2 linked regions of the Medicago truncatula genome follow. The protein of the gene in region 1 interacts with the protein of each later gene in a pairwise test. Links are inferred from orthologs where the notes say so. Each region holds a gene or a part of one and is shown on either strand. Other genes may lie near its edges. The genes, in order: CBL-interacting serine/threonine-protein kinase 6 and calcineurin B-like protein 7.

What was found.
Region 2: the proteins of CBL-interacting serine/threonine-protein kinase 6 (region 1) and calcineurin B-like protein 7 interact in a two-hybrid assay, tested with the Arabidopsis thaliana proteins (2 studies listed by BioGRID). The link is inferred for Medicago truncatula from reciprocal best matches to the Arabidopsis thaliana genes SIP3 and SOS3.

The regions. Positions count from the first base shown.
Region 1 is NC_053045.1:62,830,565-62,837,651, reverse strand, and holds CBL-interacting serine/threonine-protein kinase 6, read right to left. Parts: upstream 2,463-7,087; 5' UTR 2,152-2,462; coding exon 844-2,151; 3' UTR 637-843; downstream 1-636. UniProt on the Arabidopsis thaliana protein: CIPK serine-threonine protein kinases interact with CBL proteins. Binding of a CBL protein to the regulatory NAF domain of CIPK protein lead to the activation of the kinase in a calcium-dependent manner.
Region 2 is NC_053044.1:45,064,305-45,072,169, reverse strand, and holds the start of calcineurin B-like protein 7, read left to right. Parts: upstream 1-4,769; 5' UTR 4,770-4,974; intron 4,975-7,650; exon of another isoform or gene 7,651-7,865.

The sequences.
Region 1 (7,087 bases):
TTCTTCACCTACATATAAAGCACATAAATACAAGTATTAAAGCTGTGAAAGCTGAGTACCAAATAATGCAGTGACCACAAATGTTTTTCTTTGATGTTTTCTTCTTCACCAACTATGTTCAATAATTGTATAGTTCTCGACTTTCAATAATTGATGTTTATCTTCTTTCAAAAAAAAATAAAAAATTGATGTTTTTCTTTAATGTTTTTTCAATATATATATATATTTTTATAATTCATTTAAATGGAGTAATAAAATTTGTGAACTAAAAAGTTATCAAAGAAACAGTTAATTTTTTTTTTAATCAAAAACATCAAGACCACAAAACTTATGGTTGAAGAAAATGACATGCACATGTTCAAAGTGAGTTTGGTCCCATCCATGTGCTCTTCAATGCAGCCTCTCAAATATGATATTCAGCAAGTTGAGGCAATCCTTCACGGGTTGGGAATTTGGGATGGTGGTGGTGTAAACCAATAATTCATTCCTCATAATCTTGATTGTATATGGATGAAGCAAAATTATGATATTTTAGCAAGTTGATGCAATCCCTCACGGGTTGAAGCAAGTAAATCAAATTCCTCAATAATATCAAGTCTAGACGACGGATGAAGCAAAATGTTACTAAAACAAACAAAAATAAAAACCAATTATTATACATAAAATTAATATCACACACAAACAAGACAAGGAATTTTTAGTCGATTAAGATACAAAAGCAGAAACATACATAATTAAAACAACACATGAAGCTCCTCCTAAACAAGAATTATTACAAAGAGAAGAATGAGACATAACATAAGTAAATTAAACAAACATTATGATTAATGATGAAAAAATTCATCAAGCAGCTGGAGGGTCAGCAGAAGTCCAGAAAATATCTTTCAAAGCAGGACGAAGCTCTTTGCTACAGAACTGATTATACTCCAAAGTATCACCCTTATCTTTCTTCACCTCCACCACCAGAAACGACGGTGTCACCGCGTAAATATCCGCTGCAATAGCCAACTTTCCTTTCCTCCCTCTTTCTTGCCCTTGAAGTCTCACCTTCGTATCACTACTCTTCACATCAAATTTCACCGCCTTCGCCACTTGTTCCAGTTTCGATATCACTCTACTCGGCGTCCCACCCGTTGCAAATCTCATCTCCTCCCTCTCTTCTCTCTTCTTCTCTTCAAACAACGGAGACAAATCAAATCCTTCTGATAGTGAAATTATATGAAAAGCATTCATTGTCGTCGATGATTTCTCACACTCCATAAATTCAAACACCTTATCTTCTTCCTCTTCTTTCTCCTTCTTCCTCATCGCTATACTCTTTGGAACCGGTTTCTTAAACCAACTAGAATCCATTATCTTCGATATGGATATTCTTGTATTCGGATTCGGATCTAGAAGCTTTGTAATTAACCTCCTAGCTTCCAAAGAAAACCACGGTGGACATTTGAAATCACCGCGGTAAATCTTCTTATACATAGCAACCAAATTATCATCCTGAAACGGTAAAAATCCAGCCAGAAGAACGTAAAGAATAACACCACAAGACCAAATATCAGCCTTAGCACCGTCGTAACCCTTCTTCGCGATAACCTCCGGCGAAACATACGCCGGAGTACCACATGTGGTATGCAACAATCCATCTTGTCTCAAATGTTCAGAGAAAGTACAGAGACCAAAATCAGAGACTTTGAGATTACCGTCTTCGTCGAGGAGGAGATTCTCCGGCTTGAGATCACGGTGGTAAACACCGCGACTGTGACAGAAATCAACGGCTGAGATCAACTGCTGGAAATAGACTCTAGCAACGTCTTCTTTGAGTCGACCTTTGACGATTTTGTTGAAAAGCTCTCCACCGCGAACGAGTTCCATGGCGATATAGATCTTTGATTTGGAAGCCATGACTTCGTGAAGTTGAACTATGTTAGGGTGTTTGACCATCTTCATGACAGAGATTTCTCTTTTGATCTGTTCAATCATTCCAACTTTAATCACTTTTTCTTTACCAACTACTTTCATGGCTACGTTTTTTCCAGTATTCAAATTCTTGGCGTGGTAAACCTTAGCAAATGTTCCGTGACCGAGTACTCGACCAAGCTCGTATTTTCCATCGAGCAGAGCCGAGTGAGAGTTAGGGTTTTCCTTTTCACACATAGTTAGTATTTACAAAGTAATAGAAGAAATATGAAGGAAGAAGAGATGAAGATGGAGAATAGATCAACCGTCTTCAACGTGTTTGCGGTGGCAATGTCTACCGCCAATGATTCGTTTTGTAAGAATGCTTACAACTTCAGATGGAGAGAACCGATAGCAATGGCCTCTCATCTCTCTGCATTCCTTCGCTGTAGACAGACAGATACAGAGAATTATGAAAACGATGAAGAATGATTTAATTGGTTAAGAAAGGGTTGAAGAATTGTGTTTGGTTTCGACAATAATTCTATATTATTACTGACTTATATTAGGTTTGGTTTTATAATACGGCGGTGCTGGTTGGTCTCTGCTTTCGTTTTCATTGTCTCAATTGATTGGTGATCTGACGGTTCTCTCTCAAAGACAGATTAGGTGATGGTGGACACGTGTATGGACCATTGTTCTTGTCTTTTCTTCTCACCGCTTCAACCGTTTTTTTTTTTTTTTTATGCGACGATGAAATTAAACCGAATCAGTCTTTTTCTTTTGGTTTGTTTGTTTGTTTGTTTTCATTTTTATTTAATTGATATACTTTATTCTCATTTCTTAATTCAGAAGTATTAAATAAATGATAATAATAAGACATAGAATCATGATTGATTAGGAAAGGAAACCAAAACCGCGAGAGAAATACTTTGAATCATGATTGATTCATGAATGAATGAATGGTGTGCAGTGCTGCTCGCCATAGAAGAAGACAAACCTATTTTGTTTTGTTAATTATTATGTGTGACAGTGTGTGTGTGTGTGAGTGATTGATAATATAATAATACTGGTTGGTTAGTATATGAATACTGCTAGAATGGATAGATTAGATAGATGGAATAATGAATAATGTTATTTTGTTTGAGGTAGGAGGTTTGAGTGAGACATTGACATGACGTAAACGATGGTGGAGCCTGGCTGTGGGGCTCGCTGCAACTGCAAACCAGCAATTAGATTTAAAACAAACAGTGGATGATCGGTTTTTAAATTTGTGACAATCACGTAATAGCTCGTGGCACTATGTCACTGGCTAGCAACGACAACTAACAGGTAGGTAGGTCTCTCGAGACGGACCCGACTCTTCTGAAGCGAGCTGCTCACTTTTTTTAAATCAAAGAAGAGGTGCTACATTTCATTAATAATCAAGGGATATCAAGTAGAAGAAGATATGTCATGAAAGATATGAGATTAGGATGAGATAATATGGTTCTAGCAATATAATAAGATATCATATTTGTTTGTCTCTTTATAAACGATACTACATAGTCGAAATTATTAGATAAGAGACTCTTACATATTTCAGATACCAAGTCATCAAATTTATTACATGGAACATTGAGAGCTTGAAGCGCAGCTACCAAAGTTTTGCTATCCGTTTCAAACATAACATTATGCAAATCGTTGGATATCGCCATTTTGAGAAAGTGGAGAAGACCAAGGGATTCCGCGTCTAAGACAGAAGATAAGTGCAAGTAGTTAGATTTAATTAATAATAGAGATCATGTTGAGTCTCTAAAGCATAAACCATAAGCCATAATAGAGTTATTATGGAAATTGGTCGTGTCAACATTGCATTTGATGTGGCCGGCCTGTGGCTTGGTCCACGTCCGTTGCTGATCTTGGGGGCTTGCCGGATGCTTAGCTCGTTGCATGCAGCTCCATTCGTGTAGCACATCATAAGCACAAGAGACAATGAGGGTCAGTGAAGTGTTTGTAGCCTCCCAAAGCTTGGTATTACTACTCTTCCACAAACTCCAAAGAATTATGGCAGCAAGAGATCGGTCTTGATCTTGCTCCTGTGATAAAAACCAATTTTATGTGAATGTATCTAAACATAAATTTACTTTAGTTCTATTCACTTTTATTCAAAATCAGTTCTTTTTAACTCGATTCTATCAAACTAATTTTAATTACTGCATAACCAAACACAATCTAATTACAGCTTCTTGATGGACGCACATTTCCTACATTTTCATCGCTGAAGCAAACTTATCAGAAGTGTATAATAATTTCTTTCAATCATCTGAAATATAAAACTGTTTCTTGATCTCGTAGATATGCAGAGATTTGCTACCTACTTGATCAATAGTTAGTGTGGCTCTTATAACTACAAATTTTGGAATAATTAATACATTTAGCATGTAATGGAATGTGCATTTGGACTGGATTGAGATGCCACCATGTGAAATAATGCATTTCAAGTGAACTGTTTGCTCGTCTTCATATATAGTCTCTTCTTTTTTTGACGCAATCATTATAGTCAACTAAAAATATATAATCATCTTCATGTCCCATTTTTTTTTTTATTTAAACTTTAAATGTATATGATTTTTTTTTCCTCCTTTAAACATACAAGTGAGACGACATATAAATCTAATATCTTGAGGTTTTTAGTGAAGATACAATGTCTATCATTGTTGTTAAAATTGCGTGTTAAAATGTAAAATTGCCCAATTTTACAGTTTTAAGAGTGAATTTTCGATTAGATTAATTGGTTGTCAAATCAATTTTGAGTGAAACATAAATTTAACCCGAGTTAATTTATTTTAGTTTTACCCAATTTGGAAGAATTTTTTTATTGATTTGTTTTAACCTTTAATAACTTTAGAAACTTTCCATAAAAAAGAACTTTAGAAACTTGTCAATTTTTTGTTTTTTTAGATGTTTTTATGATTTGGTGGGATAGTTTATGTTGTTTGATGAGCATGACACTTTATTATAATGATTTTATATATTTTTGTTTTATAATTAAGTTGAAATTTTAAATTATTGATGCATCTATAAATAAGTACATGAGTATAATACATGTTATTGTTATGCATATAAGGTAAATTTGTATAAATTGATTTCACCATATTTTTATTTCAATTTCATCCGTGTAATTGTTTTTAATTCAATGCGATGGTCCATCAACTCAACACAAAAACATTCATTTGATATATATCCTCACCTCACCTGCAAATGATGCAATGTCTTTGGGAAGTCACCATCTGACCCGCGTGCTAAGAAACTTCTGATTTTGATCATATGATGATATGCACCTACCAATAATTTATGGGAAATGTTAACTGGTGTTCCGGGGGCACTGGTTAAGGATATAAAAAAGGAAATTATATAGTAGTTAATGTATTGAAATTGTGTAATTAATTTATAATAAAGTCAAAAACAATTTTCTTTTAGGATAATAATTCTCTCTTATGATATGCTTAACCAGTGTCCCGGGGCACCGGTTAGCAGGACTCATAATTTATTTATTTTTATTACAACACCTATTAAGAATTTAAATATGAAATTGAAAGGTATGTACAATAATTGACAGACATTAATATCAAACCAAAAGAATAAATAACCAATTGTTTTTTCTCATACATTTTTTTATAACATTATTCTCATACTAATTTATACACACTAATTGAGGACATGCTGATCACAGCATTGGTGGGTTTACTATATGATGATGATGATATTGTAGATGTAGATAAAATAAGTTAATTAAATTTAGGAGTATTAGATTAGACAAGGAATTGAAATATTTTTTTAATGGCAATCGGGGTTATTTTTTCAGAATCCACTCTCCATTCCCGCCAGCCATTTTTAAAACAAGAACATGTATGGGAAAAAAATAACCTTAATTATGGTGTTTTAAATTACACAGGGATGTACTATTTGAAAGTTATGCTTCAAAGTCAATTTGTTTTTTTTTTTTGTGTGGTGAAAGTCAATTTGTTTTTTGTTTTTTGTGTGGTGAAAGTCATTGTGTGTGTTTGGTACGGCGGTGACGATAATTGATTTTGACATAATTGAGTTTAAAATAATTGATTTTAGTCAAAAGTGTGTTTGATGTGAATTGATATATAAAAGTGATTATTTCAAGTTGATGTTGTTTGGATACTTTAAATTAAAATTGATTTTGGATGTTTAATTACCACCGAAATGTACAGTAGTGTTTCCAATCCCCTCCAATTTCATAGTGCAATTCAAGGCTTTTCAACAAACGCATAAGTGCATTTCCATACAGGTCCCTAACAAAACCAAAGTCCCATACAACAGTCCCTCCCAAAGCTAAAAAAGGAAAACCATAGGTAGCAAACCGCAGCACATCACCACTGCCAACACAGTTGAACCACAACAGTCTGCTGTCTGAAAACCGCACTAGTCACAACCTTAAAGCTTTCGTCTCACTAACCACAGACAGCTTTGTATTCCATTGTCTTCTGAATAAGTTTTACCTGAAACAAAAACATAATTTTTTATAAAATTAGCATCTCCAAAGGACCACCTCCCAATATTTATTAGGATATGTACATCATCGTCATCACATAAAGTAGTATATTGATTTGATATCCCATGGAGACACTTCTTTCTTTCAGATGGGATTAAATCGACAAACAATGTTCTCTTGATACAATATCGTAGTCAAAGAAAACTATCTTAAAACTCAATTCATATTACTTGATGAAGAAGGGGCAAGGCCTAAACAGATCAAGATAATTGAAAACACAACATAAATTTTCAGGAAGGAGGAATACTAACCTGAACAGATTGCTTTTTCAGACTTCTAATATGTTCAGTTATTTAATCATGTGTGAACAATTCAATCAAGGAAACATCATCATTGTCTTGATCAGCATCTGTCCCCTCCTGGTTGAATTCAATCCCATCTTGTTTGTGCTCTATATCACCACTAAACACTTGACCACTAAACACAAAGAACGCCAACTGAAAAACACAAATGCAGTCACCGCGACACATACTTAATCAAAATGGGATTTGAAACAAATATAATTAGCAAATAAACTACACTGATTTAAAAATTACCAGAAGTAGCAAATAGAAGCAGTGATCAATATGGTTAAGCTGAAGTATTAAAAGAAGCTCATTGATGTATGAACTCTGGCAAATGAGAAGTAAG
Region 2 (7,865 bases), on another chromosome or scaffold:
AAAAAATATTTATACATTTTTTTATTTTTTGAACGACAAAAATATATGTATATATAAATAAAAGGAAAAATCTTCTTCTAAAAGAGTGCAAAGAGATACAAATAGTGAGTACAAAAAATACTTTAATCAAGAGGTAACAAAACAAAAGGATCTCTCCCAAAGAAAACAAGAGTGAAACTAAAACTAAAACAACACTAGACAACCAACCAACCTCCCATCAGAACACTCAACCTCGACCAAATAGAAGGAAGACTAGGAACAGAATCTCACATACTTGGCGCTTATGAGGTACCTACATTAAAGATTTTTTTTAATACCTAATGAGACTGAGGTCTTAATGAAGCATAAGACGATAATGATGTCTCATATAAGATCACAATTCTATTTTTTCAAAAATAAGTTGATCTAAAAAACTAATTTCATAAAATATATAAATAATTGATTTGTCAAAAAAAATCATTGATAAAAAATAATCAATAGAGTTAAAAAATAATTGGTTCTCATTACCCACTGACTCCATCTTTCGTATAATACATCCTTTTGTCTCCGTCTTTATATCAAGATTACATTGTTCATTTTTTGAAAATCCAAAGTATTTACAATTTTTTTTGATTCCATCGAAAATAAAGTAGCGAGTTGGATCAAGAAGGGAAAAAATACGAAACAATAAAAAAAAACTTAAGATCAATAGTTGTGGTTGTTGGTGAATTCATGGATAAATAAAACAAAACTCAATGTCGATTGAGAGAGAGGGGATATGGCTTTTGGTTTAAAAAAATATTGTTCTGAATTTGGATATCCGGAAAAAAAAAAATGGGCTTATAAAACTCGACGAGATTATTTGGATGATGTTTTTTCCATGTACCTGAATATGTTGCACATCCCTACATGTGGGTAGCAATGTCCAATGGAGATTGGTATACTAGGAGAACATTTGAAGATAGTAGAAGAAAATCGGAGCTTTTGGTCGTAAGGTTAGTCGAAACAGTGGATGAGAGTCGAGTAGGAGAATGTGCCGTGAGGGAGAGTTAAGGTAAAGGATATCTTGATCTACAATGGACCAATTGTCAAGTTGGTCCATATTAGAGTTCGTCTTGAGAGAGAAGTAAGAGGGAGAGAAAGGTAGGATAAATATGACACTTATTTCGTTTGGTTGAGGAAAGGTATATCAAATAAAGAAAGAAGTAGACGAGACCCACGTAGTTTTGGCTTCTTCGCTCAAGTGCGGAGAAATGCTTGTTGTGATAGAAGTAATTAAGTTTTTTTTCTTCCAAAAATACCCTTATTCATTTATTACTTCGACGACTCTCTCGTCTTTCTCTACAATACCTCTGTCAATTTTGTAATCTACTCCTAATGGCTCTCCCATCACAAAATTGGTGAGGAAGAGAAACATTTGACACTCTCGATACTCTGTTCATGATGTAGGAAGTTAGTATTATTTCAAAGAGACACAAATGTTTGTGTGGGAGATTCGATCCATGAAGGTATCATGTTATTGGAAGGTAGAGATAGTCAGGATGTCGGGAAAAGAGGAATGATATTTTGACTACAAATTTTAAACAACTTCTAGTGACAACATTTTTTCTCTCTTTTTATTAGACAATAACAATAGAGAGAGAAAAGAAAAGAATGAGAATAAAATTACAATAAAAATATAAAAGTGAGTTATCATAAAAGTTGCTTAGAAATGATTGTTCAAATATCAATTTTTTTTTTGTAAAAATGGTCTGTCTTCGTTGTTGCATTGTTAGCATTTTGATTGACTTAATAATAGTTCTATTAAAAATTACTATCAAATTATATATTATATATTTTTTTTTAGTTTAAAGGCACTCTTGTCATTTTCAAAATTAACTACGACTCTCTCTTCTCGCACTGTCTTGATCTCTTCTCACTATCTTTATACTACTAAGCAAAACAATAATGAACTAAGAAGACGCTAAAAAGCTCGTATTGAAACATGTAGTTCCTCACGATGACCAATTGCACTAAAGTGAATATTAGGTTGGCAATGAACCGACCAACTCGATTATAGTTCGACATTCGACTCGATATTTAATCCGTTGAACTTGGTTCATGAACCTAACGAGCTGGACTTGAGCTGAAAATTAAGTTCGTTAATTAAATGAGCTGAACTTGAGCTACATATAGTTCGACTCGTTGGGTTCATGAGATGACTCGATTATCGATTATATATATAAATCAATTTGAGTTAGTTTTTTAAAAAAAATTAATTCAAATGAGGCAAATGTGGCTGAATACAATTTTGTCTTGAAGGGAAGAGCAGTTGGAGTTTAAAAGTAAAAGAATATTATGAATTTTGTTCACAGCTAATTGAATTTTGTTGGATTTTTTTGTCTCTGTTACTTGTATCAGATATTTTTCTTCGTATTTATGCAACATTTAACTTTATATAATTTATGTCTATTATATGCATGCTTGTGGGAACTTTTATTTTAATTTAATATTTAATTTTAAAATATATATATATAATATCAAAGATCTATAAATTAATTTTTTTTTTTTTATAATTATTTTTGGACGAGTTGAGCAACCGAACTGAACCTAACAAGCCGAACCGAAGTTCGTGACCTTCAAACGAGCCGAACTCGAGCTGAAAAAATAGTTCGTGTCGAACTCGAGTCGAACCAATTCTTATCGAGTCGAGCCGAGCTCAGGCAGGTTCGGTTCGACTCGACTCATTTCCAGCCCTAGTGAATATTAATGTAATGCACATTTAGAAACAATGTAAGTTTGACAAAATTACAATAAAACCTTGATTTTGTTGAGGTGACAACTAATGTACCCATGGAAGAATGACGGATAATTTACCTCAACCAATGAACATTCACATTTTTAGGTAGTATCCATGAACTATTTTAACTCCACTAATAAATTGCTCATTTTCATTAGTTGGTAGGTAAATTACCACATTTTAACCTTTTGGGTTGGAGCACATTTTAATTTTTTCAAAGTTACAATGTCTTTCCGTAATTTTTCAAAACCGGCGCAGATCCAAACATGTGTATAGTTTGTGCAAATATTTCTTTACAATTCATGTAATTATTGTTGGTCGCCAAATTTAGTTGCGGAGTACTACTCCAGTTTTTTACAAAAGAAAAAAAAAAAAGAATACATATATTTGAATCAAATACATATACATTTTTACTTGTAAAAATCAAGGGGAAAAAATATATTTTCAGTCAATGTTGCAAAAGCTGCGTCGTCACAAGTGTTGCAGATATATGTTTAGCCTCTCCTTAACATATTAGATTAAGTGTTGCAGATATAAAGATGTTTTTTTTATTTTTTATTTTAGTGTAGTGTGAAGACTACTATCTGTCTATCACCCCAAATTGTATACCCAAGTGGAAAAAAGAGGAAGAAACGAATATTTCATTTTATACGAAACAAATCGCGAGCTCATTGTTTCATTTGTTTCTTTGATTTTTATGTGTATGAATATGAATGTCTATGTGATGTCTTCTTATGAGATTTTTTAGGTGTGCAAGTTGAGATCTCGCCTATTGTTCAATGCATAAACACCAAACGAGGGCTTAATCAAATAGCTTAATCGGAAGACAAATACTCAAGTAAAAAATACTAATCGGAAGACATTTTGTGAAAATGAGAAATCAACAAGTGGATAAGTTATCTTGGCTAACCCTGGGACCGTTTCACAATAGCTTAATCAAAGCCAAGTCAAAAGGAAAACAAAAATAATAAGATGCATTGTATTTTCTTGGTATATAGACTACTCATTTTGGTCTAAATTATAAGCAATTTTTCTTTTTAGGATTAATTGAATAATATATATATATATACGGTCTATGTTATAAATTAAATATATTGATTATTAAATGCATCAAATTATTATTATTATTTTGGTAAAAAAAAATTGAGATAATACGGTATTGAAGTCAATATGAACCTTAGAAAACATTTATTTAATATATATGAAGAGGAACTATACCGATTCCATCCATCTAAATAGAGTTTTAGTTGTTATCGTAAGCATACCTCAGTTGACAGAGACAATATATTATTTTTTTCTTACAATATATTGTTATATTAATTCACATCAAAATAAGGTTTGAACCCCGTATATTCTACTAATTCACATTAAAAAATTATTTCCTTTGTCCCATATTAAGTAACCATTTTTAAAAAAAAATATTGTTGAAAGTAATCAACATATTTTACTCTTCAGTGCAATATTAATTACTTTTTCCAATTATAACTTTATTTTTTATGTATTAATTATAACTTTAATTAATACTACTTTCAACACTTTCAATTCAACATAGTCCACTTTACATTGATGATAATGGTGAATGAATACTTAAGATATATTCCACTTTATATTTATGACAATAACACTATTTTTTTTCTCTCTCTCCTTCACTAATTAATTTTTCTTAATATATGTGTGAAAGAGTAATGCTAGCAGCACTTTTTTAAACACTCTTTAATAATTATTCTTTTATTGATTTAAATAACTGTGGATCTACACTTTGAAAATTAAACTCACACAAAATAGTGAGACATATATTGATTACATCCAATAAACCGAATGTGAAAAGAGTGTTAAAAAATTAGTGTTGTTACCCTTTCTGATGTTTGAAATAGGCAAATAACCAATTAAATTGTTTAATATGTTAGGGAGGGGTGAGTTTTAGTCAAATAATTATGGGGATGTGGCAATCAGCCAGCTGGAAGATACATATTAATTAATAAATAAATAATCAATGAGAAAAGTTGAAAATGTTGCGGCTCTAAATTCCATTTCCAATTCAAAATGTGGCAAGCAGCCCGAGGTTAGAGTCTAACCGTTTAGAATAGACGCTACTTCTCCGGCAACAACACATAGGACTTACTTACGTTTTATCTCCAATTCCCATTCCCATACGAGAAAGCAAATATCAAGATTTATTTATTACCACTCCAGACCTCACCTGTTATGTTGTACAGGTCAGTATCTCCTTTTCCCCTTTTTCTATCTGTGTTCATGCACTTTCATTATTAAACTATCTTCACCTAATATCGGATCTTGTTTCAAATTTTAAGCATCTTCACCTAATATTGCCTCTTGTTATTTATTATGAGTTCTATCTATTCAAACAAACATTTGTTCTGTTCTTGTCCTTTGTGCATTGTGAAAATTTCAATATCATTCCCTTTAATTTCTATAGATATCAAATTTTAGGTATTTTCGATTAGATGGAATAAAATGTTGATTTTGTTTCTATAGTTGATTGGAATTAATAAATTTAGCCATAAATTTTACATTGAAAAATATTAGAAACACTCCTTTAACACTCACTCTCCTATGAAATCCATGCTGGTAATTTTCAAAGTGTATACACTAAATTTCAACTAATTAAAGAGTATAAGTTAGTAAAAGAGTGTTTTGCAAATTATTTGATTTTCCTACTATATATCTAATATATTTCTTTACCTAACATATATGAGTAATGATTTGACAATTCAAATTGTGCTTGCTGCCTGAGAATAGTGTGAAAAGTTATGTAGTTTGTCGGTTGACAAAGAAAGGGACATCAGAAAGAGTAATGATAATTGATATAACATATTTGACAACTTCTGTCACAATATTCTTTATCACTCTTTATATTCAGAAAAAAAAAACAATTGTTCAAAAATTATCGTAAAATTATAACAAATAACAATTCTCATCCAAAAATTGTGAAGTGAGCCCCCACAACTTTTTATAGTCTTGACTAAACAACGAAGAAAATAATAGAAAGAAAGAAGCACCCATTTTTGTAGTTCTCACGTTTCACGTGAATAAAGTGGCCTGCCAAATAGAGTACTATTCCGACGGCCTTTACTGTTTTTTACTAGCGGAGCCGTCGAAGGAATGGTAGGGGGACTTCTTCTTATAAGAGGCAGGGCTAGAACTTGTAAAGACACATATTTTAAGGATTCTCAACTAATGTGAGATTCTAAACACATCTTCCGATGTTCCGTTAACATTTACAACATAATCTTACTTGTGGACATCCTTGAAAGAAGAGTCTTATAATCACACTCTATTCAACATTTTCTCTAATACTTATTCTTTTGTTGAATGAAATCAACGTAATATTCTCATTTTAAAAATGAATTCCACATAAAATGATAAAATTTCACTCAATGAAAGAGCAAGTATTAAAAAAAAAGTTAAAAAAAAGTGTTCTTTAAGACTCCTCATCCATAAAATTGTATGATGATCGTTGCAAAGACACGTAAGAAATATAACAAACATGTATTTCTCTGGCCTCTGAGTGCTCATATTTTAAGGTATTTTGTTTTGTTTTTTTATATTTATGAAAGGACGTATCCTTCTCATCCAAAATCTAATTTTTTTTTTTTTTTATATATTTGAGAGAGTGACTTGTCCCTTCACTTGTTGTTTGAGGCCATGTCTCCTATCCTCGAGGAGCAACTTGAATTTCGTATCTTTTTTGTGAATATTAAGGGAGTGACTTCATTTTTATTTTATTTTGTATAATCCGTCATCTCTTACCTCTTTTTTTCTTCTTTTCTGCCAACCAAATATTGTCAAAGTAAGATGAGGTAGGGATAATGACTAATGAGGATGACTACCCATGTACTCTAACGGCTCTAAAGGCTAAATGTACATCTCCTACTTGTACTTGATTAGAATTGCCTGATTATTAATTAAGGTTGTGTTATTTATAAGCAAGTGGGGGAGGCCTATAATCTGTTCACCTAATTAAGTTTTCTCTGACTGTGTTATTAAAGCTCCATCTCTTGCGTGAATCATGCACATGACAACCTTTCTTTTCTTTTAATTTTTTTTGACGGATTTTCCTTTAATTTATAATGGGTTTTTTCAATCATTTGCTAATTAATTTGCACATATTCAAAAGTTTAAAATAATAAATTTATACATGATAGAAAAACCCATAATAAAGTCGTCAAAAGTTGCTTGAAATCCATAAGTTATATTTCAAATGATAATTGTCGATATTATTAAATCGGACACCATTCTAACATAAAACATCATAGTTATACGTCAACTTTAGATAGTGTGTATGTATCACTTCACTTCATCTACAAATCAAACAAAAAATAACGTGGCCAAATTATACGAGGCTGTAATGAATGGTGTCTTTAAACCATGGAGTAGGATCCTTTCTTGTTTTAGCAAAATAAAACAAATTCCGTTGTTTTTATATTATGTCTTTGTCTCCTCCATACGAGTGATACATGACATATCGTGTCCTTTTTTATTTTGAAAATAAACATAGCAACAATTTTGAGCAATCAAACAAATTTAGCCGACTCCATTTAAAGACTCGGATAGAGACGTGTTTTCTTTTGGATTATAGTGTTATTAGCCGACTTCATCATACCGTGATTTCGTCAAATTCACCATCAATCAAAACATGTACGAATAATTTTTTTAAGAAATAGATGTGACCCTCAGTTAAATATTGCATCATGAACTGGTGCCTCCTATTAATCAATCAATAGATTTGATACCGAGTTTGAAGAAAGTATCGTATCATGATTGAGTCATCAAAGTTGTTTTACCTCGTGTTTTTTTTCTGTTATTTTCTTCAAAATAAAATAAACCGAGAGAAGAAACCAGTATTTTAATTTCTTTCTTGATTTGCTTTGAGTTTTTCTGCAAACTAAATATTATTTATTAAGTTGTGAGTTGTATGGTATTGGTCAGTAGGGATAAGCTTGTCAATTCAATTCCAACTCATATGTTTCTACTTACCTTTGGCAAACGTGTATTTAAAGGTTTAATGTTGCTTTCACATGTTCATATAAATAACATAACCGAATGCCCGGTGAAGTTTGGTACTCCTGAATTTGTATGCCTCTTT